Linked DNA regions of Macaca fascicularis. The protein of the gene in region 6 interacts with the protein of the main gene of each other region in a biochemical or structural test. Links are inferred from orthologs where the notes say so. Each region holds a gene or a part of one and is shown on either strand. Other genes may lie near its edges.

Region 1 (4,475 bases), on a different chromosome or scaffold from region 6:
ACTGCAGCCTCGAACCCCTAGCTCCAGATACTTTAAAATCAACACTGAGGTTGATTGTTAAGAGGCCACATTACTGGATGGTACCTTGGTCCTACCTGCTCCTCACCCCCCACCCCACCCCACCCCACTGAGAATTACTTTCACTGAATTGAGCTTGGCCTTGAAGCCATCAGCTTGGGTGTGTGCCTGGAGTTATAGGATATAGTCTGTGTTTTATGTGTAGTCCCTGCCCTGCTTCTGAACACATCTGTACACATACATTTTCCTATAATATGTATGGTGTTTTGGCTTGTGTGTGTGTGTGTCTGTGTGTGGCTGTGTGAGAGACCCTCTTCTAAAGCAGATCCCATGGCCCTGCTCAGAGTCCAGCCTGCTTGAGTTCTCACACCCCTCACACTATATACAGGAAGCAGGCTGATTTGCAAAGCCACACCACAAATGTGAGGGAATGGGTGGTTCACTGGCCTGCCAAGCTGCTGAGTGGGCGTAATTTGGGTGTGGACAGCCCTCCTTTTGGTGCATCATTTGCAGGGGGAGGGAGTGCCTCACTTCCCTTGAACACCTACTATGTGCCGGCCAGGTGCAGTGGCTCACGCCTGTAATCCCAGCACTTTGGGAGGCCGAGGTGGGCGGATCACAAGGTCAGGAGATCGAAACCATCCTGGCCAATATGGTGAAACCCCATCTCTACTAAAAATGCAAAAATTAGCTAGGCGTGGTGGCGCACCTGTAATCCTAGCACTTGGGAGGCTGAGGCAGGAGAATCGCCTGAACCCAGGAGGCATTTTTGTTTGAGACGGAGTTTCAATCTGTTGCCTAGGCTGGAGTGCAATGACTTGATCTCTGCTCACTACAACCTGCACCTCCTGGGTTCAAGCGATTCTGCCTCAGCCCCCTGAGTAGCTGGGATTACAGGCACCTGCCACTGCCACCACGCCTGGCTAATTTTGCATTTTTAGTGAAGACAGGGTTTCACCATGTTGGCCAGCCTGGTCTCAAGCTCCTGGCCTCAAGTGATCTGCCCGCCTCAGCCTCGCAAAGTGCTGGGATTACAGGTGTGAGCCACCGCGCCCAGCTTGATTATTGCCTCTTTACAGGTAAGTAAACTGAAGTTCAGAGAGAGATGAAGCCACTTGCTCAAGGACATGGTAGAGCGGAATTGTGACTGGGTCGGCCTGTCTCTGAAATGCATGTTCTCTGCCCCACACCACATCTGTGGGCTCTCTTGCCTTTGGTCTTGCTCTGAGGTCTCTGGCCTCGTGGTACCCAAGGAACAGAATCCAGGGATAGTGACCTTGGCTTCATATCCTAGGCACTCTCGAAAATGGGTCTTTCTCCTTCTCAGAACTGTCTTGACTCTGGCAGGAAGCTTTCCAGATCTTAAGAAATGCCTTCTCCCCTCCTCTGAACCAACCCTCAGCCTGTTGTCAGCCCCTGTCCACTTGGCCCTTCTCTCTTTGAGAAGAGCCTCTGTTCCTGGGGCCCAAGAGCAAGGGACCCTGTTTGATTCATCTGTCATAGGGCTGGGTGGAAGGAACTGCTCATGCCTGTCCAGGGTGAATGACCCTCCCTGAAGCGCGGGGAGAGCCACCATGTTCCCTAGCCCCCACAAGAGACTACAGGACTCGGAGCTGTAGATAGGAGAAAGGCTGGGACCTGCTGACTAGGCGGAAAGTGTGTGTCAAGAAAAACTCCAACGAAGCAGGGGAAACCTGGAAATCTGGCTGAGTGGGGACTCCCCCAAAAAATTAAGGCTCAGAGTTAAAAAGTGAGGAGGTGAGCAGGTAGCAACTATGCCTCCCCAATCTCTCTCCACCTCCCTGGGGTTTGAAGCAGGAATCAGCAAAACCAACTGGCCCTACACAGGCAGGGCTGAAGCCGGAGGGAGCCAGGGGCGAGGGGAGGACATCCTGCTGTGACGCTTGGCAGGGGCAGGAATGGTGACTTTCCAGATGGGAGTTCAGCGCTTCCTCACCCAGGGCCAACTGCACCCCTGTCTGGGATAAAAATAGTACTTCCTCTTCCTTTCTCCCATCATTCTCTTTCACTCCCAACCTCCCAGACTCAGATCAGATATGTCCATCCACCCTGGAGCTCCATCCCGGGTGATGGACACCCCCACACATATTAGTCCACGCCCATCAGGAGACTCTTCCCTCGATCACTGAGGATAAAATCACTCCTCGCATGTCCATCTGGATGCCCTGGGTGATCTCTCTCTCTCTCTCTCTCTCTCTCTCTCTGTCTCTCTCTCAGGAGATTCTTGTCACTGGGGTCTGTCCCAGAAACCAGAAGGATTCCTGGGTCCTCTGAGTCCAACCTGTCCATCACCCTGCTCCAGGCGGGGTGGTCACAGCCTCGGACATCACTCTCTCAGTGGCAGTGGCCCAGCCCTGCCACTGCCTTGCTGAGAAACCATAGGCAGTGAGTGCCTTGTTATCTCTGGGCCTCAGGAGCCTCATCCTCATGGCATGAGGGACTGGATTTGGTGGTTTCTGGAAGCCTTTTTAACACCTGACTGTCCATGTGCCTGGTCTCCAGGAAACATGGTCCCAGTGAGGTGGGGCTGCTGGTGGACAGCACGGCAGAGGCAAGCGCCACCAGCTTCGCAGGAAAGAGGCAACCCAGCGACACTGCCTGCCTCCCACTTGACCTTGAGCGAGGATCTTCTCTCCCCAGCCACAAAGGGCTGCTGTGTCCCTAGGGAGCCTGGGCCCGCGTAACCGCAGCCGTCTGCTATCAGGCCTCTCACCCCAGTGCCTGCGCCCCCAGTACCAGCGCTCCTTACCTGCCCAGCCCGGGAGCCCTCTGGTCCCATTCACATGGTCCTCCTGGCCTAAGTTGGCTGCCTGGACAGTCTCAGCTCCCTTCACCGTCGTAGCCACCACCTGTCTCCTCGCGCCCACGTCCCACCCTGACTTCCTGCCTCCTCCCGAGGGCTCCGCAGCCAACCGGGCCCCAGCAGCCCAACCACAACCCTCTAGCACCCCAAGCTTCCTGCCACCATAGACCCCCGCCTCTCAGCCCTTGGGGGTCCCCTACATCTCCAGGCCAGGCCCTACTTCCCCTACTGTCCCAGGGCGACACTGGGAGGTTTAAAGTTGAGGGGAGGATGTCTGATAGACCCTCCCTTCTGCCCTCCAGAGTGCATCTGGGCAGGAGATTCAAGGGCAGCCTTTGGGCCCAGGGAGCAGGGGGCAAGCAGACACACACTCAGCTTACGGTGAGAGGCAAGCAGCACCGCAGCACCACTGTTGCAGCTGAGAGACCCTTTTGTTTCTATCTGGCAGCAAAGGTAGCATCATTCAGAGTCAGAGGAGAGGACAATATCCCTGTTAAATAGCTGGTGAGCAGACCACGCATGTTACAGTCAGGTCAGGCCAAGAGAACAATTCCCATGTCATCTCGGAGCATGGGACAGTGGCTTTATTATAGTCAAGGGTAGGTGAATGGTAGGCTACCATCCCTCTTACAGACAGAGTGCTGGAAAACAGCCTGTTTCAGGAGGCAGACAGGAGGACAACCTCATGTCTCCAAGAGGGCATCGTAACGGCCCCTGCTGTAGTCAGAGGCCAGGACAACACCCACTAATCATGGTCGGAGAGTAGGGCAACACTTTGAATTCAGGTAGAGGCAAGGTCACAGCCCCTGGCAGAGGTGAAGGGCTTGGCACTATCTCCTGCAACAGGTGGATGACAGAGCAAACAGGGCCGCTCAGGCCCCCAGGTGCAGGCCACAGACAGTCAGGACTTTCTGTTATAAGCAGGAGGCAAGAAGATCCTCACGAGCAGCAGGCAGGCAAAGAATTTCCATTTCCCCTGGGGCCAGGCTGAGGGGGCGCCCATCATTAGCTGAGGGCCAGGTCACCAGTGATATGAGGAACGCCAGGTGGCCTCATCGGGTCCGAGAACCCAGCCTTGACCCCCGCAGGAGGAAAGTGCACATGCGTCACTGCCTGAGTGAGCTGGTGGGGGGAGGGGAACCCACAGAGCATTGTTGGGGTTTGTGAGGTGGAAGCGATGCTGTGTGCACCTCAGCTGCGGAGAGAAGGGGGGGCAGGAAATGGGTGGGGGGAAGAGGAAGCCTGAGTTGGAAAGTCAGACAAAGAGGGTAACACAAGAAACAAAGGCTGAGAGAGACAAAGTTGAAAAACCTTCACAGTGACACAGAGCCTAGAGTTGGAGCTCCAGGTGCAGGGCCCAGACTCCGTTGCAATGTAAGCCTGAACACTTCACAGTCCATCTCCGGGTCTCAGCACAGAGTAGAAAGACAGCAGCTGGGAGTAATAGTTCACATTCACTGAGTGCTCACTGTGCACTATTTCCCTTAAGGCACATCCGCTGCCTGTGGAGTGAGAATCAGCACCTCCATTGTGGAGGTGAGGAAATAGACTCAGGGGTTAAGGGAGCTCCTCAGGGTCTAATAGAAATAAACGGTGGCTCAGGCCTGTAATCCTAGCACTTCGGGAGGCCCAG
Region 2 (3,870 bases), on a different chromosome or scaffold from region 6:
TTTTCAAAATGAATCATCACTTAATACCTAGATTCCTGATCATTCCATGAAACATAATTTAGAATATACTACATTGAGTAAATCTCAAGGTGTGATATATTATTTTTATTTTTTAAACAGTAAAATCAAAGATTATGAGAACATTTCTTATATAGTTATTTTTTAAGTAGCAAAATTGCTTTTTAAAACCATACCAATAGTAAAATAAAGAAAACATACATTTATCTTGCATTTTTTACCACCAGCTGCTCTGAATATTAGCTAAGTTGTACTTACCTTGTAGTAGTTTTCATCAGCACGCAGTGCTTTGGAAAGTCCGAAATCACTGATCTTGGCATAATGTTGAGTAACTAGCAACACATTTCTTGCGGCCAGATCTCTGTGCACAAAATTGCACTCCTCCAGATACTTCATGCCCATGGAAACCTGATGAACCAGTTCTATGATGTTCTTATCCTTGACATGTCTGAAAGTCACAACGATCTCATCAGCTATAACCGACAGTGACCCATTTCACAACAAACAACCATGCTCCTCATGCAGGCAGTAGGTGAATCTACTCCTTCCCTCTTCTTAAACAACAAAACTCACAAGTGGTGACAAATAACTTTGTTAGCATATAACTCTTCAGGACTGAATGCCATATTCTCCTGGTGTTCAATGGGATTGAGTTTCCTGGCATGCTTGGAATTGCAAGACAAGCAGTATAACAGAGTGGTGAGGCCTGGTTCACAGACAGCCAGGCACCACCTTAAATCCTTGTTCCAGTATTGCACAGGTCACAGAACTAACCCTGAGTCTCAGTTTCTCACCTATAAAGGGTAAGAACACCTCCCTTCCATGGAGACTAAAGAGACAACCTAAGTACAAACATAGCACAGCAAACAAAGCAAGCTCCTCAGTAGCCATCATTCTGTCTTACGCCAAGTGAGTTTCCTCATCTCAACAACAGCTTTAGATGAGAACACGATTACTCCCTTGATGGATGTAATCAATTAGCAGCGACTGATATTTTCAGAAGTCATTATTCATGAGGACATAAGGTCAGCCAGATAAAACATAACTGTCACCTCTTAGAAAAGCACTTATTTTAAATGTTTCTTTAAAAAGAATGTGTTCTTCCCAGTGAGAAAGGAGATTCCCTGTCAAGATATTCTGAGGCTGAGTCTATCACTAGGCCAAGACTGAATGAGTACAGAAAGAAAAGAAAGACAAAACTGTCGAATGAGTTCTTCTCTGAACAACTAGAGCTAACAGAGCTGAATCCAAAGACTGAGTCTCCCTTTTTCCCTCTGTCAAGGTCCCTGAGTATGGACCAATAAGGGAAGGCACAGGAGGGTGGGAAGGCTTCCACGGAAATCAGGCTGCTCAGCCCATCCAGTGGTGGGCCCTGTCCCTTAGGGGAGAGCTTCCAGACCTGTGGGGGCACCTGACAATACCTGTTCTGCTGCAAATACTTATTGAGGGGACCAAGTTCTGCCATCTCCATAACCAGCATCCAGGACTCGGCCTCGCATATCCCGATCATGCGCACGATGTACGGGTTGTCCAGCTGCTGCATGACATTTGCTTCTGCTAATAACTCGTCTTTAAGAGCGGGGTCATTGGCCTCGTTTTTCAGAATTTTCACAGCCACTGTTTTCACAACTCTGCAAGAGAAATCATAACACACAAGAAACTTTCTGAAACGCCTGGCTTCTAGATAATCTTCTCCTGTGAAGCATAATCCCCGCGTGGAACCAGTCCCATGGAAATACCTGCCACAGAGTGACAATGTGTCTTCAGAAGCCTGTAATGGATGGCTGGCCTTCCAACCTATATTCCCTAATTTTACAGACAATGAGAGTAATGCCCCATTACTAAAAAAGAATGGTGGGGGCTGGGCATGGTGGCTTATGCTGATAATCCCAACACTTTGGGAGGTTGAAGGGGGAGGATTGCTTGAGGCCAGAAGTTCAAGATCAGCCTGGGCAACATAGTGAAACCCCATCTCTAAAAAAAATCAGCTAGACGTGACAGTGCAAGCCTGTAGTCCCAGCTGCTTAGGAGGCTGAGGTGGGAGAATCACTTGGACTCAGGAGTTCAAGGCTGCAGTGAGTTTCTTGCCACTTCACTCTAGACTGGATGACAGAGGGAAACCCTGTTTCTAAAAAATAAAATAAAATAAAAAGAATGGTGAAGAACAGTACTGAAGAACGTCCCAACCAAGCAAAAACCCTAAACTGTAAAATATTTAAATAACTTGTAAATAAACCTCACCAACGATGACATGCACAAATTCCTGTAACATCTTGGGATTCACCATCTCAGATTACGTGTAATGAATGTGAATATAAAATGCCTTTCATAAACGCTGAAAGTGAATTTCTAGGTGCAGAATTTAAAAGGATACATTTAAATGTAATGCTTTGAAGAGGTAAACAACTCTCCTGAGAGAGGCTGAAGAAGACCTAGTAAATGCGGGGATGGGCTGTGTTTATAGATTGAAAGACTCAGTATTGTAAAGACATACTTTTGCAAAATTGACCGAGAGAGCCTCTCCTCTCCCCAAACTCTCTAGTTGAAATTATGTCCACCGTCATGTCTATGTTAATTCACAAATTTAAGCAGAGAATAAAGATCACAACCTTTCACAAACTGAAAAAGCTTATGATTAACACAGAAACATTTTTGTTCATTGTACAAAATGACGGTGATATACAAATATATTTTAAAATAAGTATCACAACCAATTTTGATTGTGTGTATACATGTGCTTATGTATATACTTGTGAATGTATACATGGGTGTGTATGTTTGTGTGTGTATACGTATATACATGTATGTGTATCTGTGTGTGTATATATGTATATATGTTTATACACAGAGATGCACATGCACAAAAACAAATGGAAGGGACAGATTGGAAAGCAAGCATTTCTCCTTCCTTCCTTCCTTCCTTCCTTCCTTCCTTCCTTCCTTCCTTCCTTCCTTCCTTCCCTCCTTCCCTCCTTCCCTCCCTTCCTCCCTCTTTTCTTTCTCTCTCCTTCCTTCCTTCCTTCCCTTCCTTCCCTTCATCTCTTCCTTCCTTCCTTCCTCCCTTTCGACAGAGTTTTACTCTTGTTGCCCAGGCTGGAGTACAACAGTGTGATCTTGCCTCACTGCAACCTCTTCCTCCAGGTTCCAGTGATTCTCCTGTCTCAGCCTCCTGAGTAGTTGGGACTACAGGTGTGCACCACCACACCCAGCTAATTTTTTGTATTTTTAGTAGAGACAAGGTTCTACCATGTTGGTCAGGCTGGTTTCGAACTCCAGACCTCAGGTGATCCACCTGCCTTGGACTCCTAACGTGCTGGGATTACAGGTGTGAGCCACGGCACCTGGCCGAAAAGCATGTATGTCTGTGTATACTTTTGTCTATATTTTTAACCTACTTGAATCATATAAATTACCTACTCATACATTTTTTTTTTACAAAAATTCCTTAAATTTGAAATACCATGAAGCTACTAAATCCAACCACATTCATATTAGTATCATACCAATTCAAAGAGAGGGTGTGTTTCAAAGGACTTTAGAAACCAGTATTTTTACTTGTACATTCCATGTTGGATACTTTCTAAAGACCAAAAAAAAAAAAAAACCAAAGATATTTTAGAAATTTAGCAATTTTAACTGTTGTATAATATGTATTGTTATTTGAAATCATAGGATAAAGCCAATAAATAATTATACTAATCATATTTGGAATCAACAATTTTCACAGTAAGAAAAACGAGACATAACATAAAATTAAAGAAAATAAATGTAAACACTGTATTGTTATAATGGAATGATTTTATTTTAATTAAGTAATACGTGTGTGTACAACTAAAGATCTAAAAATATATA
Region 3 (3,870 bases), on a different chromosome or scaffold from region 6:
TCCTGGCCGCTGGAGCCTCTGCCCTTGCCTCCAGGGCTCAGCCTTGTTCCCTGATGCCATTTGGGCGTCTCTTGGCCTCTGGTCCTACCTGGGCCTGCTGGATGGGAGGAAACTTTTCTGGCCAAAAGCTTTTCTAGGCTCAAGAGAAAGAGGGGAGGCACCAGGGCTGGCCCTGCTTGACCCAGGCAGCCTTCAGGCCACACCCAGCCAGTGGTCTCCTGCCCACGACAGCCAGCCTCTGCCAACCACCCCCTCCCGCCTGACCCTGGGCCTGTCTTTAGAAAGGAGGTGGGTGGGGGACACGGACAGTGCCCCCGTGAGCCGATCCAGAGAGGGAAAGCAGTTAGGCCAGGGCCACACAGCAACAGGGAGCCACTCACAGGCTCCCAGCAAACAGTTATTGAGTGCCTGCTGTGTGCCTGGCCCTTTTATATGTGGTGGCATGGAATCTCCCCAGCAGCCCTGGGAGCACCCGCATTGTGCAGAGGAGGAAACTGAGGCCCAGAGAGAGCCAGTAACCCCTCCAAGTTCCATAGCTAGGATGCCCACCTGAGATATGGGGGTCTTGCTGGGGCCAAGGGTGCGTGGCAGGACGTTCCAATCAAGTGTCTCTTGGGTCCCTTGGCCCTACCTCTGTGGCTGCCCCGGGGCTGGCTGTTGAGAGACAGGGTGGGCCGCGGGCCCCGCCTGGGCCTCCCTTCCCTCCAATGTCAGGCAGGCACAGAACGGTGTCCAGAGCAGCGCTGAGTGCTGCGGCCTGTGGGAGAGAGGGCGTGGCGGTCACGGCTCCCCTCTGTGCCCTGCAGGTGCCTACTGCCTCTCAGTGTCCGACTTCGACAACGCCAAGGGCCTCAACGTGAAGCACTACAAGATCCGCAAGCTGGACAGCGGCGGCTTCTACATCACCTCCCGCACCCAGTTCAACAGCCTGCAGCAGCTGGTGGCCTACTACTCCAGTGAGCCAGCCTCGGAGGGCGGGCGGGCAGAGCCTCAGCTGCAGACCCTGGGGAGGGGCTTTGGAGCCTAGAAGGGTGGGGTCTTCTGTTATCCTGTGATGCCAGGTTTCCTGCTCCCCTCCCCACTTTCTCCCTCCCCCTTCCCTTCCTCTCTCCTCCGTTTTCCCTACTTTCCTCCGTCTCCTTCTTCTTCCTCTTCTTTCCCCCGACCCGCTCCTCCCAGTCCCCGTCTCTCCCTGCTCCTGCTCTGCAGCTGGCTGGTATGGAGGGGGCTGCCCTGAGGAGCCCAAGAGTGAGCTGGAAGGGAGGGGACGGAGGCTGGTGTCATTTGTCTATGTAGCCCTAGGACCGGTCTGAACCGGTTGCTGGGAGAGGAGGAGGGGGCGGCCAGATCGATTGCAGCAGAGACGGAGAGAGCGGCAGAGGGAGCTCGCGGGGCTTGCGTGCTGGGTGAGGGCTCGGGCGTGGGCGCAGTGCTGTAGCCCACCCACCTGGGCGTCCGGAGCTGACTGCAGTGTCGGGGCCTGTGGGTGCCTGTGGGTACCTGTGTGCCCATGTGTCTGTGGCACGCGTGGCCTCTGTGTGCAGGTGTTGGTCCACTTCCCACCCCAAGTCTCCTCCTCCTCTCAGCTCGGCCTCCTGACTTCCTCTGGGATCACCCACCACGCTCTTGTCTCTTCGGCCACCGCTGTGTGGCTCATGCTGAACCCCGTTCCCTCAGATCAGAACTCTCCAGGGGCTGTCTTGGAATCTTGGGATAAAGACCCCCACCAGCCCCCAAGTGGTCTAATCCCAGCTGCCTCCCCACCTCCGCCTGGTGCCGCCCTTCCCCACCTGCTCCCTGCAGCTCCTTTTGCCTCCGCTTCTTCAGCCCTGCAGCTATTCTTTCCTCAGAGCCTTTGCTCTGGCTGTGCCCCTGCCTGGAGGGCTCTTCCCTGCTTAACCCCTCACCCTCCTGCACATCCAAGCTCAGTTGCTGCTTCCTCCAGGAAGCCTCCCAGGACCCTCCTGCTGTTGCGCGAACAGCTCTCCTCCAGTCACATTCATGTCTGTGGTCCTGGGAGGTGATTAGGGAATTGAGGCTCCTCCCTGGACTCCGAGTTCCTGAGGGTAGATTCCCTGGACGTGTTCCCCGCAGGGTCCCTGGCACCCCCTACTGTCTGCTGAATGACTGACTCAGCAGATGCATAAAGCACTGTGGGCCTGTGTGGGGGTGGGACTGTGTGCACATAGATGTAGATGCCTGGCTTTGAGGGCGCCCTGGGTGTCTCCTGAAATCTGCGTGCATCTGGCATGTAGGGTGACACACACTGAGGGGCAGGGAGGCCCCAGGGCAGAAGCCCCCCCTAACTGCTCCTCTTGCCTCCTCCTCAGAACACGCCGATGGCCTGTGCCACCGCCTCACCACTGTGTGCCCCACATCCAAGCCTCAGACTCAGGGCCTGGCCAAGGATGCCTGGGAGATCCCTCGGGAGTCACTGCGGCTGGAGGTCAAGCTGGGCCAGGGCTGCTTTGGCGAGGTGTGGATGGGTAAGGCCTGGCCCCTGCCCTCGGGAGAGGCATCCATCCCCCACCCCGTGTGGCAGCTCTGGGCTCTGTTGGTCCCTTTGCCTTTAGCTGCCTCTGCTGGACGACGGGGCCCTGTTGTAAATCTGGAGCCCCCCAGCGGTGGCTGGCACCGAGTTGGGATGTGGCCCCCCAAGTGCTGTGCCCCAGACCGTGTAAACCATAGCACCTGATTCCAAGATCCGCACAGGGCTGGGCATTGCACAGACCTGCTGTGTAGGCTGGGCCCGGTGGCCTCACTCGGAGTCTCAGTCTTCCTGACTATGAATGGGGCTGGTGACAGTGGGACCTATGGGAGGCTGTGGAGGCCATGGCCCAGTGCTTGTCCACACACCAGCTGTTAGCCATGGAGAGAGAAGCCTGGCTCGTGGGAGGAGGTGCTGGGAAGCTTAGTTCTGGCATGGTCTGAGCCTGTTAGTGATTTCCTGTCTAACCCTGGAGAAACAGCAAAGCATGAGCACCGTGCAGCCCTGACAAAACCCAGGCCCCTTGTCCACCGGTTGCTTTCTGCTCACACAGAGGGACCAGAGGCCAGGGTGGAGGTGGGACAGCACTTGTAAGCCCGTAAGCCCATGGTGCTAGCGGGGATCACGGTGTGCTGTTTTCAAGGTGGTTTCATCTGAGCCGCATCTCCGCTCAGTCCCACTGCCTCCACTCTCCACCCTCCAGAGTGCTGATGGAGGACAGCAGAGAGGCCTCCTGGGTGGAAGGCACTGCAGGGACAGAGGCCTGGAGGCTGGAGGTCAGGCCGTCTGGAAGGGGGAGGCGTGGGCTTTGAGCTGGTGAGAGGGGAGAGGGGTGAGAAGCCAGGGTGTGAGCACAGCCACAAAGTGAGGACTTGAGCGAAACCTGGGTGAATGCACAGCGTCAGCCATTCTGGTGGCTGCAAAACTCATTTCTGGCTTTGGTGAGTGGTGATGACCCTGGGAAGGGCCTCACTTCCTCCCTGGGTGCTCCAGGTCGACTCATGAAGTGCCACATGCAGATGGCTTGAGCCAGGAGGACCACAGAGGTGGGCCTGAGCCCTAACCCTCGGAGAGAGGCCCAGTGACTGGGAGGAATGGGCCCAAGGTCACACAGCAAAGGAACCTTGAGTCCTGCTGGCACAAGAACCTGGATTAAACATGCTGGTCTAGAATACAGCTTCCCCCAGAGCCCCCAGTTAGAAAAGCAGATAGTAGTGAAACGATAACCGCATTACTTACTGAGCCCTCACGGTGGGGCTGGCCCAGTGGTTAAAATCTCATTCAGTCCTCAAACAGCTCCACCAATAGACACTGTGGAATCCCCATTTTCCAGATGAGATAACTGAGGCTTAGAGAGGGGAACTGACTCTCCCATTGTCTCT
Region 4 (3,870 bases), on a different chromosome or scaffold from region 6:
AGGCAAAATTCTTAATCATGTGATCAGAGTAGTTACAGCATGACAGGCTCTATCTTTAGGAGAAAGATTCTCTTATTATCCTAAAATGGATAAGGAATGTAAAGTACCAAGGGGTTAAGTGCCTTAAATTACACACTGAGTGGCAAAAGCCAGGCTACATAATAAAATGAAAAATAAAGTATCTGGGGATGTATTTCCTACATAAAGTGGAATAAACCAGGTGTTTGTGGCCCTGAATTAGATACCTACCATATTTTCTACATAGAAACTTTGAACATAACCTACGACCCTGGTGTCCAAAATGTGGTCTGGGAACCACCAGCATTTCAACACTTGGGAGCTTGTTACAAGCGCAGCATCTCAGGGCCCACCCAAGACCTACTGAATCAGAATCAGCATTTTAATAAGATCCCAGATAATTGCACATTAAAATTTGAGAAGCATAGGCCTAGGAAATTTAACAAATACCGAACATTCCACTACAAGACATTTATAGTTTTGGAGCAATTGAGCATTCCTGGGTTCTGTGATTTGCAATAACCTTCCATGACCTCTAGTTGCATTAAAAATGTTAATCTCAATCTCTTTTCCATTACTGTGTATTATCTAGGCTATCGGTTTTTCAGTTTTGTTTTGTTTTGTTTTGCTTTGTCTTGGGGTCAAGCAAACTAGTTGAAAGCCAATGGAAATGCAAATGGGAATTCTCTTACACAACTTTCCTCTTGAAAGAAACACCAGTATCAAAATAGAAATCTAATTAATACTTACACACTTTAAAGCACAGTTTTTCTGATCTACAGAGTTCCAAAAGTGACATCCTTGGATGCACTGCAAGAGACAATAACAGACAATGGTGAGTGATTGAAGAAATGTGACTTTTTCTTGTTACCTGAAAGTACAATGTAGTAACAAAAAGCATCACCCTGTGTTTTAGAAATAGAAATCTACCAAGAAACCTGAGGCCTCCAAAGGATCTGGAATTTTGGGATTCCAAACAGAGCTGTCATATCTACAGGTAGAACAAGGCTTGTGGCTCACTGCAGAGCAGCAGAGTTGCTGAGTGGAGTTAAGCCTGGCATGGGCAGGCCTAGAAGCCAGAGAACAGCCAACCTTCAAGGAAGACACTGTACACTGGGTAGCTGTCAAAGGTAAAGCCCAGGACAATGTGGCATTGAGTATATCCTGGGTCCCTAAGGTGTCCTCACATATCAAGCAAAACTCAAAACTGGAGATGCAACCAGATGGTGGCATGTCAAAACCTCAATAGGTAGACAGTTTGGGGAGTAAGCTGCCTACTAGCAGCTTTCACCCCATAGCTGCCCTGAAAACCCTGAGTTGCCCTGACCTGCTATTGGACAGATTTGACACATTTTTTCTTACCTTACTTGATTCAGCTGTGCCTGTCTTGACCATTCCTTCCACAGGCCATGGTGGCACCTGGATTCCTTTTTCTTCCTGCTCAGCCTCCTTTGCCATCTCTTTTTGCCTCTCTCCACCCCTTTGGTGTTTGTGTTCTATCCTCAGCTTTTTCTCCCCTCACTCTTCTAGTTCTCCTGGAGCGAGTTCATCCCCTACCTCAGCTTCAAGTGATCTCGATGTTGATATCCCCCAAACTTCTAACTGCAGCTGAGGCTCCTTCCTGAGCCCCAGACCCAGATATCCACTGGTTCATTAGATGTCTCCATTTAAGTTCCTACAAGCACTTCAAATTCATCATGTGGAATTCAATTCCTCACTTTCGACCTTTAAATTTGCTCTTTCTCCTGTGTTTCCCATTAACATGCTACATTCTCCTGAGTTGTCCAAGCCAGGAACCAGGGTGTCTTCTTCTCTCACCCCACTCTCCCCTCTCACGGAAAACCCATCACCAAGTCCTATTGACTTCTCTGGTCATTAACTAAAATCCATCTGGGTTCATCACTCACTGCCTCAATTTTCTGCTTTGCCATTAACCACTTGCCAAAAACCTTAGGGGAGGACCCCTCTTGTTCCCACATTTGGAGTGACTTTAAAAAAAAAAAATCGGGCCACACTCTTCTCTTACCTAAAATTCTATATGTCTCTCCATCACCTTGTGAGTTAAGACCAACTTAGCAAGCATAGCAGACAAAGCCCTTCATGATCTGGCTCCATGTAACTTGGCAATTGGTCTTCCACCTCCCTACCCTCTATACATGTACCCCGTTTTCCAAGCAAGCTGAAATACTCAGTTTCCTTAACAACTTAGGCTACTTCACACCTTTGTGACACAAAGGGCTTTCTTGACACAAAGGGCCTTCTCTGATCAATATGCCTTTTCCCATCTAGTCCATCTGGAAAACGCTTCCTCTTTCTAGTTTTAGTTTGAAGGCTTTGCAGGCAAGTGAGGTGCCTTTTACTCTTGTGTATTCTCCCTTCACTCCTCACCCACACCACAATTCTGGTTCTGATGATGCTGCCTGGCCCTAATTTTATGCATATGTCTATCTCTCTGGTTTCAAGCATGTATCTCAAAAAGGTTGAGAGTCCTTTTAAACAGAGGCCCTATTTTTTTTCATTGTTAAATTTCTAGTTCCTGGCACAGTGCCTTGTGCATACTTATACCTTAAGTCACTAAACACTTGGTAAACAAATGAATACATGTGCAGAACAGTAATAAAACCATACAACGTAACTGTTAGAAGAAATATTAGAGATGATCTCAAATAACACATAATAAAACTAAATCTCAGAAAAATTAAGTAATTAGTCCAAAGCCACACAGTTATATAGAAACAATATCATGCACTTGGATTGGTCCTGTGCTGTTTCCACTTCAACACACTTCATTTTTATATAAATTCGGACTTCTCATTATTTTCAATTGTTCTTCTTCCAGCAAGGATAAATGAGATTTTACTTAGCAATTCTTACTGTGATAAAACTTGATCATCGTCCCTTCATTATCAACACAAACATTGTAAAATTCTTGACAATTGAAGAAATTACTTACCGGTTCACTCAGATTATGTGGTGTGCCAAGGTCAAGCTGCTGGCCCTGAAACGAAGAAGGAGGTAGTAAACACCAGCTATCAGTACTGGGTTCCGTGTAACTAACACACCTTTTTAAAAAGCTTCCTGAAATAACGTTCTCCTCAGCATTTTGTAACGTAAAGTAAGGAGCCAAATGTTTTAAAGGCATTAAATTCATCACTACCAGACAAATTATAGATATAACGCAAATTATAGATACAATGTCTAAGAACTTTGCAGGAACCAAAAAGGTGTGAGTAAGAGTGTGGCTATAGAGAGAGAGTCTCACGCAGAATTAAATAATCCTGCGGCATTGGTCAGTTAATCTAGTCAAAGGACTCCTAGGTTAGTGATGAATTGTGTTCAGACTTTTCCTTTTTAAAATTAAGGGCAGAGAGAAAATGCAAATTGGTATAAATAAAACATAAGATTACTCTTTTATTGCTCACATACAAATTTTAAGAACTTTTTTATACTGGAGGAAAATAAAAGAAATGGGAACTAAGGACAAAGATCTATAAATTGCTCATTATCTCTCTGGTCATAATTTGAATAGAGTCCTTCATAAACAAGACAGTTTATAAAGGATGGCAATACTGGGCCATCACATAATCAGATAAGTACCCACATAGTGTTCCATGCTTGGTAGAGAGAAGAGAGCTGCATTCTGTCACTGAGCTCACCGAGCTCACTGAGCATGCTCCTCCTTTCCATCCATTTGGCTCTTCACTCCATCCTCAGCAGCTAGAACACTGCCTGATAGAAATAGGTGTTCAATAAATACTGATATGCTAAAGGAGTAAACCCACTAATTCCAAGTGGTTTCCCACATAAGGATGCTTCAGAAGTCCCTTGGAAACATTATCCGATGGTTTAATA
Region 5 (2,685 bases), on a different chromosome or scaffold from region 6:
GCCCGGCCAGGCCAGGAGGTGCTGGGTACTGGCAGAGGGGAAGCTTTGGGCAGGGCAGGGTGGGGGCCAGCCCCCTACAGGAAGCTGTCCTCTGCTTCCGCTCGAGGCGCGGGGCACCCTGAATCCGGCAGCTGTTCCAGCTCTGGCTCTGGTTCCACCTGGCGCTCAAGCTGGGGCTCTGGCTCTGGTTCCTCCTGGGGCTCCAGAGGGCTGTCACAGGAGATGGTCGAGGAGGTGTTGACTTCATTCAGGGTGGAGCTAGAGGAAGGAGGCAGTGAGTGACAGGCTAGGAAGGAGCCCAGGAGGATTACAGCAGCAGTCATGAAGAGCCTTCGGTGTGTCTGCCCCTGCACCATGGGCTTCACACACTCCGGCTCATTTAACTCTTGTGAAAACTATGCAATGCCTGCACCGTGAGGAAAGTGTGGTTCAGAGAGGTTATGTCACTGCCCCACTTCACACAGCAGGGAAGTGCAGGAGCTGGAACTTCAGAGCAGGGTTGGCTGGCTCCAAAGCTCATTTCTCACCCACTAGCATCTGCCTCCTCTGCACCCCTAAAGGTGTATGCTATCTCATTTAATCCTTGCAATGACTGCCTAATAGAAGTACTTTTACTGTTTATATTTTATAGAAGAGGACACCGGCCGAGTGCGGTGGCTCACGCCTGAAATCCCAGCACTTTGGGAGGCCGAGGCGGGTAGATCACCTGAGGTCAGGGGTTCGAGACCAGCCTCAACACGGAGAAACCCCGTCTCTACTAAAAATACAAAATTAGCCGGGTGTGATGCTCCATGCCTGTAATTCTAGCTACTCGGGAGGCTGAGGCAGGAGAACTGCTTGAACCGGGGGGCGGAGGTTGCGGTGAGCCGAGATCGCACCACTGCACTCCAGCCTGGGCAAGAAGAGTGCAACTCCATCTCAAAAAAAAAAAAAAAAGAAGAGGACACCAGTGTTTACACAGTGAAGCAGCTTGTCTGAGGGCACAAAACAGGGCGAGCATTCACACCTCAAGCTATGGGAGATCTGCACTTCACTCCTCTGCGTTCACACCTCAAGCTGTGGGAGAGCTGCACTTCACTCCTCTGCGTTCACACCTCAAGCTGTGGGAGAGCTGCACTTCACTCCTCTGCGTTCACACCTCAAGCTGTGGGAGAGCTGCACTTCACTCCTCTGCGTTCACACCTCAAGCTGTGGGAGAGCTGCACTTCACTCCTCTGCGTTCACACCTCAAGCTGTGGGAGAGCTGCACTTCACTCCTCTGCGTTCACACCTCAAGCTGTGGGAGAGCTGCACTTCACTCCTCTGCGTTCACACCTCAAGCTGTAGGAGAGCTGCACTTCACTCCTCTGCGCCATCCACTGGAACTCTTGGATGATTCGTCTCTTCAACAGTTAGAGCAATGAGGGCCTTTGGGAGCCTTCTAAGGCCTGTGTGCACCCCTGGCACATATGGAGAAACTGAGGCTCTCAGAGGAAAAGCCTTCCCAGGTCTCATAGCGGCTAGTGGCAGAGTTGGGACAGTACCCCAGCCTGGGGCTCCAGCCACTTCACCTTGGGCTGGATCTTGCTTTGGAGGTGGGCGTGGCCTCATGAGGAGCCCTTCTCTCCAGTTAAGGGGAGATCCTATGTGGACATCAAGTCCCCACAACAGCAGGGTCCTCCTATAAAGCCCCCGCTGAGCTGTAACTTCACCACTTCCCAAGGCAAAAGAAAACCACAATCTCCTTCCCAATCTGAATTCTGTCCTGAATTCCTGTAGGCGCCTCTGACTCCTGCAGCCCTGGAGGCTCTCTCCAGCCCCAGGGCATGGTGCTGAAGAACAGAACATAGGCCTCTGGCTGGCCATGAGTAACAACTGGGGTGCTGGGGATGCTAAGTAGGTTTGCTTCTTCTCCTTGGGGCTAGGACAGGACCTAGAGATGAGAGAGTATAGATAACCTCTGGGGGCTCCCTTAAAGGAAATAGCTACCTTGCAAATAATTCCCAGCCCATACTTTTGTTTTTACTAACCTGCCCTTTCCACCTCAGGGCATCAAAGTTCAAATGAGTTCCATTCTCTCTTTTATTTGTTGTTAGGGATAAGTACTTACCCTAGGTAACTTACCTCTGAGGCAAGCCTGACAGCACGCATGCAGGCAAACACACACACACACACACACACACACACACACACACACACACACACACGATATCCTTGGCCCCAGGCCACAGTGGTTACCTGGCTAGGCTGGGGGAACCCTCCAGTGGGCCCTCGTCAGCAACCTCGGGTTTGGGGTCAGGCAGGGGGATGATATAGTCGTTGTCACCCTCATTGGGCTGCACGGCGGTATAGAGGACGGAGCTGCTGTCCAGGGGAGATCGGAGGCCATGGAACCCAGGCAAGCGGGCCTGGGACCGAAGGATGGCTGGGTGGTCACTCCTCAGAAACTCCTCATCCACCTGCTGGTACTTCTGCTCCCAGGGCAGGGAGAACCAAAGAAACAGGGATGGTCAGGCCACAGTTGCCTTCAGGGATCTTCTAACCTGGCCCATCCCCCTTTGTATAAATAAGCTCCCCGCTGCTCAGAGGGGAAAGGGATTTGCCCAAGCCACACGGCTGAGCAGACCTCCCATCTCACATAGAATCTTACAAGGCATGGTGAGCTCAGCACCACCCAGGGAGGGGCAGTTATCAGAACCACACCCA
Region 6 (3,870 bases):
CTGTGCCCCGGCAGAGACCAGAGGCAAAGAGAAACACAGACCAAGGCCACACCACAGGGAGTGGTGGGAGATGGACAGAGAGACACAAGTCACAAGGAAGGCCAATGGGGTGCGCTCCCCCAGGGAGGCGGGGAGGACAACCCCACCAGGGAAAGAGTGGTGTAGGGGGCTCTGGGGTGCCCTGGATGATGTCACTGAAGGGGAGCCCAGGGTTCAAAAGGGTTCAAAGGGATTCAAAGGGGCTGTCGGGGCAGAAAGCAGAACTAAGCCCTTTCCCCAAAGCACACCCCTTTCCCAGGAGGAAACTGTAGCCCCACAATGCCCTGCCCCACAGGAAACCACGTGATGGAAAAAACACAAAACTCCTTCTGGGGAGAGAGTGAGAAGTGAGGTTGTGAGGTTTCCTCAGCCCAGGGACAAGGGGAGGGCGGGCAAATTTTCCAACCGCAGGGATGGGGGGAAGAGGGGAGGACCAGTCTGTCCCAACCCATCTCACCCCTGCCCAGAGGTGACTCCAGCCGAGAGACCCCCCAGAGCCTCCATACCCCATTAGGCCACTTCAGCCCACCACCTGGGGACAGGCTAGGACCCCAGGCAGCAGGGAGGGGGCTGAGCCCCTTCCCTTGGGCCCCAGGATGAGGAAGTCTCCATGCAAATGTCAGGCTGACCACAGGAAGCGCAGAGCCACCGAGGGACAGATGCAAATTCCCGCAGAGAAGGAGGTGCCACAGACAAGGCAGGGGACACAGCAGAACCTGGGAGAAAGTCTCTCACACACTCCCAGGTTCGGGGGTGACACTGGCTCCTGGGATGGGTCACCCAAAAGGGCCTTCAGTGTGGCTTCCCCGGTCTTAACCTCCTGCCCCAGCACTGCCCTCCCTTCCTTCTCTCTCTTCTCTTTGAACCCAGGCCTCAGCCTCCTCTGCAGGGGCCTCCTGGGGCCCTGCTCCTCTCTTCCAACTCTAGGCACTGGTCAGCCCGTCCTCCTCCTCCTAGCTTGAGGCAAGGAGAAACAGAGGACATGAGCTTTAGAGGGTCTCGCTGGCAGAAGCCCCCTGAGTGTTGCAGTGGGGAAGAGGAAGGGCAGGGGGCAGACATAGAGCCAGCCATGTGAGGCTCAGATGAGGAAGGCCTTGAAGGAGGCAGATCCAGGAAAGGAGGCCTCCCAGGTGGGCCACAGGGCTGCACCGCGACCGAATCCAGCTCTAAGTTTCAATCAGTGACTTGACCAAAAATATTGATGCAGTTTGGAGGCCCGAATCTAAGAAAGGCTGCAAGCTGGCAGAAGCAAGTTTCCCAATCATTTCAACAATCGATCCACGAATGCAGGGCAAGGGCAAGTCGGCTTGGCCCAGGGGTCCGTGTGAAAACCCCCTAGCGTTATTCCGCTGCCCTTTAAGAGGATCTGGCATTGAGATGTGGCTGCTGAAAGGAGCTATGGTGTCCTGAGGAGTGTTCAAAGCTCCCCAGCCCCCCATCCATGCCTTTGGAAGACCACAGGAGGAGTCGAGGAGGGCACAGGAAGGAAATGCCTGGAGTATTATTCTGTGCCTGGGACAGTGCGAGACCCTTTACACAGGTGAACACTTCACATCCTGCTTTCAGTGATCTCTGTATTTGACCCCACAGGACAGACCCATCCCCACTGGGCGGCTGGGACAAGGTGTCAAGTGTCCTGGCAACCGTTCATCCCCATCCTCATCCGCAGTGTCAGCTCCTCACTGTCCTAACATGCACTGGGGTGAGAGGCAGACGGAGGAGGGCAGGCTGGCTTCCAGAGGAAGAAGAGCTTTCTAACAACAGAGCTGGCCGGCACGATATGCTGGCCACCAGCAGTGGCCTCCCTGTGTCTAGTGGGACCTGGGCTGCAGCGGCCAGGGCCCCTGGTATAGGGCAAGGCAGCTTTCTCTGGCTTCCTCGGGGTTAGGTGGAAAGGGTGGTAGGTTAGGCTCTGAGACACCAGGCCACAGGACAGCATGAAGGAGGGACACTGAGAGCCCCAGCCGGTGCGGGGAGGGGAGGGGATGGAGGGCAGGCAGTGCCGGGTGCCAGGCTCCCTGTCTCCCTGGCCGCTCAGGGCGGGAGCCGACTCACCCCTGCTTGCGAGTGACGGGGGTACAGAGGCCTCACCTCTCACTGGTGGGATCGGAGCAGTTCAGCGGGTACTTGAGGTGGATGATGGTGCCGTCGCGGTCTTGCAGGACGCCCTGCTGCTGAGTGTAGTACTCCACCAGCTCTGTCAGCGTCGCGAACTTCTCCCCTCCATACAGGTCATAGAAATCCCCTGAGTTCTGGATCCGAATATGGGTCACCTGATCCCCCACCCTGCAGGGCACCAGGCGGTGAGGCCAGTCGGTGCAGGAGTAAAGCAGGAGGGCAGGGATCGGCTGAGGTCCTGGGTGGGGGCACACATGGGCATGGGTGGGCACAGACAGGGGTGGGGAGGGCGGGGGTGGGGCGCGAGGGCACAGACGGGACGTGGGGGTCGGGGAGTCGGCACTGCCACGGGGAACCAGGAATGAGTGGTTCAGGGCCTGGATGGCACAAGACAGTGGCCAAAACACCGGGGGTGGGGGCACCTACCTGACAGAGAGCGAGAAGTCACCCTGGTTCTTGCGACTGGGCCGAGCCAGGAAGCTGCCATGGACACCTCGGCCCTTGAGCAGGGTCTCTGCATCCAGCCCACTGAGGTCTCGGTGAAACCACCTGGGCGGCCCAGGCAGGGCAGTGAGGAGGGGTCCCGTGGGCACCAGGCACCCTTGCCTCCTGTCTACCGTGGGTGGCAGGCCCTTACCTCACCATCCTGGGGGCTTCCGGAGAGGAAGGGGGCGCAGGGAATGAGGAGGTGCAGCTAGTCTGGGCAGGCGGAGAACTCAGGGACTAAGCCTCAAATGCAGCTCCCAGTGCCAGGCCGCTTCACCACCCCTGGTGGTCCCAGTTCTGGGGCTGCCACTCCACTGGCCTGGGGCGGCCGGCAGGGCGGGGACAGGAAGAGGCGCGGCCGACCCCTTGGGGGAACTCACTTGCACTTCTCGTTTTAGAGCAGAGCAAGGGAAGAGAAGCAGAGCACGGTGGCACTGGGGGTGGGGACGGGGCCCACTTCCCACACGTCTGCAATCAAAGGCTTAGGAGCATGGCATTGCACACATGTGACAACACATGCAGTAAGGACACACGTGTGCACTGCACACTCCAGGCCCAGATCATACTTCATGCATGTGAACCGAGACGCTCACACGGCATCTCTTCCTCCTCCACCAGCTGCTTTTACACAGCCCTCCCTGGCCCACGCTAATGACAATGATGGCGGTGACAGCTGTCAGCGAGTGAGTCCTGCTGGATGCCGGGTGCTGTGCTATAATGGCGTTCACATGCCTCATCTGATTGATTTCTCACCACAGCCCTATGAAATAGGGGCTATCTTTATCATCTCACAGACAAGGAACCTGAGGCTCAGGAAGGGTAAGGCATTGCCTGAGTCCCTCAGTGAGTCAGCTGCAGTGCCAGGATTCAAACCCAGACAGGCCGGTTCCAAAGCCAATGCTTTGAACTCCTATACACCAGCCCTCAGGGCTTCAAAGAACAGAGATTAAGAGCCTCCTTGTGCAAAGGGGCTGCCATGGGAGCGGGAGACTGATAGTTAAGACCTTGCCAGTGCTTGCAAGAGAGAAGGGTGCACTTCTGTAACCAACATATGCGTTTTGTCCATGCCACTGTGGCAGAGGGATGGACAGCATGACCCTGAGCAGCCCTGTCAAACTTGGGTCCTTTCTGATTCTTGTCCCTAGGCCTCTGCCCCGCCCCAGGACTCCCACCAGGGGGCCTATCTCCGGGGGGTTGGGGACCAAGGTCCTCGCCATGGCTGATTTT
Region 7 (4,660 bases), on a different chromosome or scaffold from region 6:
AGACAGCTAACAACTAAGGCCAGCATACCACAGGGTCAAATGCCTACAACCCTTCCTCCAAGCTAAAATTTAATTAATCCTCCCTCCACAAATACTCCCCTTTCATAAGACACCCAATTCTAAATATTTTTCACCAAAATTGGGAAGGCAGTGACATTGGCCATTCTGCATTCCCAGAACTTCCAACAATCCCTGGCACATAGTAAAAACTCATTAAATATTTTTGAATGAGTCTTACTACAGATTCCGGTGAATCATGTGAATGGTTATAGAGCTGGGCACATAGAGCCAATCTCATCAGGCTTCACCACTGATGACTTGGCGCTTATCCTTAGCCAGTTTCTCCAGCTGTAAAATGTTAGGGGTAATAATAATACTACTTCCTAGGCTCATTGAGACTAGCGGAAATAGCAGGTAAAGCCCCAAGCAACAGGCCTGGCACACAGTTTCCAACTGAAGAGCAACAACTATGTATAACACACATGTCATACAAAATTTAAGGCCCATTAGAAAGCATGTTATAAATGCACAGCATACATGATTTAGAGAGTCATGAGGAAAAAATATGGGGATGAGTGGGGGAAAAAACAGAATAGGGATAAATGAATTATCTGGGATATTTATTTGGGATATTTCCAGCAGGAAAATAATTTAGACTGCCTTGCGTCCAGCTGCTGAGAATGACTCCAGCCTCACACCTGCAGGAATGAAGCGGGGAAGGTATGATTCACCATTCCTTGCAGCTTCATCCTGTTAGGCACAGGAGCTGTAATAATGGGGTGGTGGTGGGGGAGAAGAATGACGGTTAGGACAAAGTGGGCACCTCCTAGCCCTCAAAGGGCAATACAGAGAAATATATGGGAATTGAGGGGTGGGAAGCATAAGCCACAGCTCCTTGCTGCAGCCAGGGGCAGACGGTCAGATGCACCCATACTCCATGAGGTCCCCGTGAGCAGGAGAGGCAGAGGAATTTCAAGGTGGCAGACAGGGACCAGGGGAATAGTTGAAAAGAGTGCTGAGTCTACACTCAGCACATTGGAAAATTCTGGACCCAAAGGATCCTTCATGATGCAGATGCCTCCTTGTACTCTGGAGGACACTGGGTTCCCCAGAATTTAAGCAACCTGCCTTAAGCAACCTGCCCAAGGGCACGCAGCCAAGAAATGGCAGAGAAAAGGAGAACCCAGGGGACAGATCAAGGCTTTGTCGTTACACCACACTGCCCCCCCAGGAGACAGACTTAAAATTCCCTTTGCCAAAAATCTTTTGGGAAGAAGAAAACCATTGATTCTTTTAATTTTGTAAAAGGGAGATATTCGATGTGGTCTTTCTAGTCTCCTACTGGGGTCTAGTTCACATACCTTAACTGATATTAAAAAGGTCAAGGCACAAAAACATAAAGACCAGATGTGTTGTTTTAAGCTAGGTGATCAAATCCTCCAGGGAATCTGAACACTCCCTCGTGACCCCTGCTGACCCCTCCTGCTGCACAGGGGTCCAGATGCAAGGCCTCTCTGCCCCCACAGGAAAGCCCTCACAATAGTTACAAGACCAGGACGCGGGAGACTGCGCCTGGAGACTTTATAGAGAAACTGACCAGTAGTAGACAGTCTCACAACCGTTCATTGCGCCGCTTCCTTTCAAGCGCTTGATTCCAGCTAAGACTCACTTTCTATCCTTACACCATCAAGGTAACCTTAAAGGTTTGTTTTAAAAATGACCTGGGAGAGAGCAGTGCTTCAGGAGTGAGCTGGGCGACCTGCACTCGCGCGCACCAGCGACACCTGGAAAAAAGGGAACGAGAGGCAGAAATCTGACCGAGGGGCTCCAGCAGCCGGCAAATCCTTCACCTAAGACCCAAGTTCCCGCGCGGATATATCTGGTTTTTTGTTATAGCTTTAAGAACTGAGTAGGATTTGCAGAAAGTTCCACTCCATCTCCCACCCCACCCCCAGGCAGCCCTGAAGTATAGATGTCCCCTCCCCGGGGACAGGGAGGCGGGCGGTCACTAATCTCAAAAATTTCCGAAGAAAACAGGACCTGCGAATACAGGTCGCAGATACCGGGACTACGGGCTTCCAGAGCCCGCCAGGCAGGCCGGGCACACTGGCCGGCGTGCTAGGCAGCCGGGATCAGGGCACGCATAGTCCCAGCACGCTGTCCCTTGCCTTCCCGGAGCAGGCGGCAAACGCAGCCTCCAGCCGCCCCGGGGCGCGTGGCAGGAATGAAACGGCGCCGCGGCCGAAAGGGACGAGCACAGGATATACGAAAGCAAAAAGTCTGCAACCTAGCGGCTGCTTTCCACACGCCCTGCCCAAGTTGTCCCCGTACACACCACCTCCAGGCTCGCGGGAGTCCGGCCCCACAGCCACACGCCGCGCACTCCCAGAGCAAAACCCTAACCCGGAGGCGGGGAAATCCGCAGGCTTCGATTCGTCTCCACGGGTGGCGCCGTGAGCAGAGGCGGCAGCGGGTCGGTCCCCAGCTCTGGGCACAAAGAGCGCCTGCGGTTGGAAGGCAGCAGCCGCAGAGGAGAGAAAGGGCTCTCTAACTTTGCCCTCCGCGCGGCGGAGAACCTGCAGGCAGGTCCTCCTGGGCACCGGTCACACACACGCAACTTTTAACAAAAGGAAGCTGCGGCCGCGCCTCGCACAGCGAGAGAAGGCGCTCGGTGGGAACCCCTGAGCCCCTCGCCTCCGCCCCCCGCGCAACCTCGGCACAAAAGCCACCCCAAACTCGCACGCAGCCTGCAACCTCGCTCACGCCTAACCTCCCCTCGCTGTCCCCATTCCCGAGGAACCCCGGCTTCGCGTCCCCACCACTAGCAGCTGGGGTCTCCTCGCGCAGGTGAGCGAGGCAAGGCGCAGGAGAGTCCGAGGGACACCTGGAGTCTCCCCCGGAGACTGGAACGCACAGGCACTGAGGGCCCGCAGTCCTCTCTCCGGATGCACTCCGGCGTGTACCACCCTCCCGGGCACAGGCTTCGCCGAGGAGTCGCACGGTCGGGGTGCCAGCCGCGGTGACCCACCTGTCTGGACGTGGAGCAGGAAGAGCAGAACGCAGAGAAAATCCCAGGCGCCGCGAGCGCCTCTCATCGCGGTGGCTGCGCTGGGATCCGAGCTCTGGTCCACGTTCCAGCTCTCGCCCAAGTGCAGCGAGCGCGGCAAAGCCGAGCCCCCAGAGCCGTGAGCGCCGAGCAGCAGCCCCTCCTCCCAGCGCCCTCCCTCTGCGCGCCGGCCACGCCCCTCCTCGCCTCCCCTCCCTCGCGCCCGCCCGGGTCTCGCTCCTTCCCGGCGGCGTCTGGCCCCTGCTCTTTCGACGTGTTAATGCCGGGGGGCTGTGCCCGCGGGGAGGAGGAGGGCGCGCGCGCGCCCTAGCTCCCAGCTCTTGACCCCGGAGCCCCTTTCTCTCTCCACCTCTCCACCCCTGGGATGTGGTCGGCCCGCCCGAGGCCGTTCCCGGACCAAAGAGGTGCTGCCCGCTCGCTTTGTGAAGCTGGGCACCACGCGCACGTTAGGGCACGGGCCCGCCACCTGCCAGGTGCTCCCCAGACAATAAAGGACGGCTGCCCGTCCCTCGAGCACGTTCGGGCGGGAGGAGGCTGGACGCCGCTGCTGGTGGAGGTGACACGGGGATGGGGAGGGGAGCGTTAGGAAATTGAGCCCCGACATTACCCTCCAGGCCTGTTAGGAGCGCGTGGCACCGCGGTAAAGGCTGAGCCCGGCTTAGCTAATTGTTTCTGCTCAGTTTCTCCACCTGCTTCGTAACCTGTAAGAATACAGTGGGTTCCTATTGGTCGGCGTGGCCTCCGCCCAAGAAGCCCCTGCCGGGACTTGTGTGGAGATTGGGGCGGTGAAGTGGGGAGGGGCGCGTTGCAAAGTTTGCTCTGGGAGCCCAGGTTTTCATACACATTTCCCCCTCTCCCCCCAACGCTGCCAACCCCAGTAATGATTTATCTGCCTCTGTATCAGACGACAGTTTTAGGGCTAGGGATCCCTGTGTCCCTCTTAACTGCCCTTGCCGGTCCCAGGAGCAGAATAAAAGTACAATGATTCTCTTAAGCCAGATTTCACTGCCCGGAAAGTGCTTTATCCACAGTCTCATGGTGGATCCTTGAACGGAAAGCAACACGGTATCTGTATAGGGGTTAATAGTTCTTCCCCACACCGACTCTTCTTTTCATGCTCACCATAACAGCTTTGTGAGGAGGGTAGAGCAGGTATGTTTATTATTGTAGTGAGGGAAGACCCAGGGCTTGAACCCTTATTTGAAGACCTACTCCAAGAAAGATGAGCTTTCCCTATGGATTCTGATAAACTAAAAAGACATCCCTCCTGAGAGCTTAAGAATGGAAAATAAGTGGCAGATGCCCATGAGAAAAAGGGATAGAACAGATACACCTAGACTCTTCTCTGAAGTATCATCCAAAATTTATAGTTGCCCAGCTGCCCCACTCCATTTAATGTTGAAAGCTCTCCTGTTGTTTAATAGTGTGAGGACCCAGGTTGACGTAAGAAAAATGATTTTTAAAGTTAATCACTTAAAAATTATCAGTACTAGAGGATGATCAAATGATCAATGTGTATAATTGCCTCTCTTTAAATGTAAGTATTTATTCACTCAGCAAGCATTTATTTAGTGTCTGCTGTGGAGCAACGAG

The links.
Region 1: of the proteins of PTPN6 (region 6) and LCK, one has a biochemical effect on the other in vitro, tested with the Homo sapiens proteins (4 studies listed by BioGRID and IntAct, with this or other methods). The link is inferred for Macaca fascicularis from reciprocal best matches to the Homo sapiens genes PTPN6 and LCK.
Region 2: of the proteins of PTPN6 (region 6) and SYK, one has a biochemical effect on the other in vitro, tested with the Homo sapiens proteins (2 studies listed by BioGRID). The link is inferred for Macaca fascicularis from reciprocal best matches to the Homo sapiens genes PTPN6 and SYK.
Region 3: of the proteins of PTPN6 (region 6) and SRC, one has a biochemical effect on the other in vitro, tested with the Homo sapiens proteins (2 studies listed by BioGRID). The link is inferred for Macaca fascicularis from reciprocal best matches to the Homo sapiens genes PTPN6 and SRC.
Region 4: of the proteins of PTPN6 (region 6) and ROS1, one has a biochemical effect on the other in vitro, tested with the Homo sapiens proteins (2 studies listed by BioGRID and IntAct). The link is inferred for Macaca fascicularis from reciprocal best matches to the Homo sapiens genes PTPN6 and ROS1.
Region 5: the proteins of PTPN6 (region 6) and PDGFRB form a complex in vitro, tested with the Homo sapiens proteins (2 studies listed by BioGRID and IntAct, with this or other methods). The link is inferred for Macaca fascicularis from reciprocal best matches to the Homo sapiens genes PTPN6 and PDGFRB.
Region 7: the proteins of PTPN6 (region 6) and KIT form a complex in vitro, tested with the Homo sapiens proteins (2 studies listed by BioGRID). The link is inferred for Macaca fascicularis from reciprocal best matches to the Homo sapiens genes PTPN6 and KIT.

What each region holds. Positions count from the first base shown.
Region 1 is NC_088375.1:202,771,341-202,775,815, forward strand, and holds the start of LCK (tyrosine-protein kinase Lck), read right to left. Parts: upstream 2,897-4,475; 5' UTR 2,789-2,896; intron 1-2,788. UniProt on the Homo sapiens protein: Non-receptor tyrosine-protein kinase that plays an essential role in the selection and maturation of developing T-cells in the thymus and in the function of mature T-cells. Plays a key role in T-cell antigen receptor (TCR)-linked signal transduction pathways.
Region 2 is NC_088389.1:121,173,137-121,177,006, reverse strand, and holds part of SYK (tyrosine-protein kinase SYK), read right to left. Parts: intron 1,650-3,870; coding exon 1,440-1,649; intron 467-1,439; coding exon 277-466; intron 1-276. UniProt on the Homo sapiens protein: Non-receptor tyrosine kinase which mediates signal transduction downstream of a variety of transmembrane receptors including classical immunoreceptors like the B-cell receptor (BCR).
Region 3 is NC_088384.1:93,506,665-93,510,534, forward strand, and holds part of SRC (proto-oncogene tyrosine-protein kinase Src), read left to right. Parts: intron 1-806; coding exon 807-956; intron 957-2,330; coding exon 2,331-2,486; intron 2,487-3,870. UniProt on the Homo sapiens protein: Non-receptor protein tyrosine kinase which is activated following engagement of many different classes of cellular receptors including immune response receptors, integrins and other adhesion receptors, receptor protein tyrosine kinases, G protein-coupled receptors as well as cytokine receptors.
Region 4 is NC_088378.1:21,377,755-21,381,624, forward strand, and holds part of ROS1 (proto-oncogene tyrosine-protein kinase ROS), read right to left. Parts: intron 3,017-3,870; coding exon 2,972-3,016; intron 829-2,971; coding exon 769-828; intron 1-768. UniProt on the Homo sapiens protein: Receptor tyrosine kinase (RTK) that plays a role in epithelial cell differentiation and regionalization of the proximal epididymal epithelium. NELL2 is an endogenous ligand for ROS1.
Region 5 is NC_088380.1:157,000,386-157,003,070, forward strand, and holds part of PDGFRB (platelet-derived growth factor receptor beta), read right to left. Parts: intron 2,451-2,685; coding exon 2,218-2,450; intron 1,913-2,217; coding exon 1,339-1,912; 3' UTR 259-1,338; coding exon of another isoform or gene 75-258; 3' UTR 1-74. UniProt on the Homo sapiens protein: Tyrosine-protein kinase that acts as a cell-surface receptor for homodimeric PDGFB and PDGFD and for heterodimers formed by PDGFA and PDGFB, and plays an essential role in the regulation of embryonic development, cell proliferation, survival, differentiation, chemotaxis and migration.
Region 6 is NC_088385.1:7,890,192-7,894,061, reverse strand, and holds part of PTPN6 (tyrosine-protein phosphatase non-receptor type 6), read right to left. Parts: intron 2,960-3,870; exon of another isoform or gene 2,803-2,959; coding exon of another isoform or gene 2,795-2,802; intron 2,707-2,794; coding exon 2,584-2,706; intron 2,326-2,583; coding exon 2,131-2,325; intron 1-2,130. UniProt on the Homo sapiens protein: Tyrosine phosphatase enzyme that plays important roles in controlling immune signaling pathways and fundamental physiological processes such as hematopoiesis.
Region 7 is NC_088379.1:79,244,073-79,248,732, forward strand, and holds the start of KIT (mast/stem cell growth factor receptor Kit), read right to left. Parts: upstream 3,154-4,660; 5' UTR 3,096-3,153; coding exon 3,029-3,095; intron 1-3,028. UniProt on the Homo sapiens protein: Tyrosine-protein kinase that acts as a cell-surface receptor for the cytokine KITLG/SCF and plays an essential role in the regulation of cell survival and proliferation, hematopoiesis, stem cell maintenance, gametogenesis, mast cell development, migration and function, and in melanogenesis.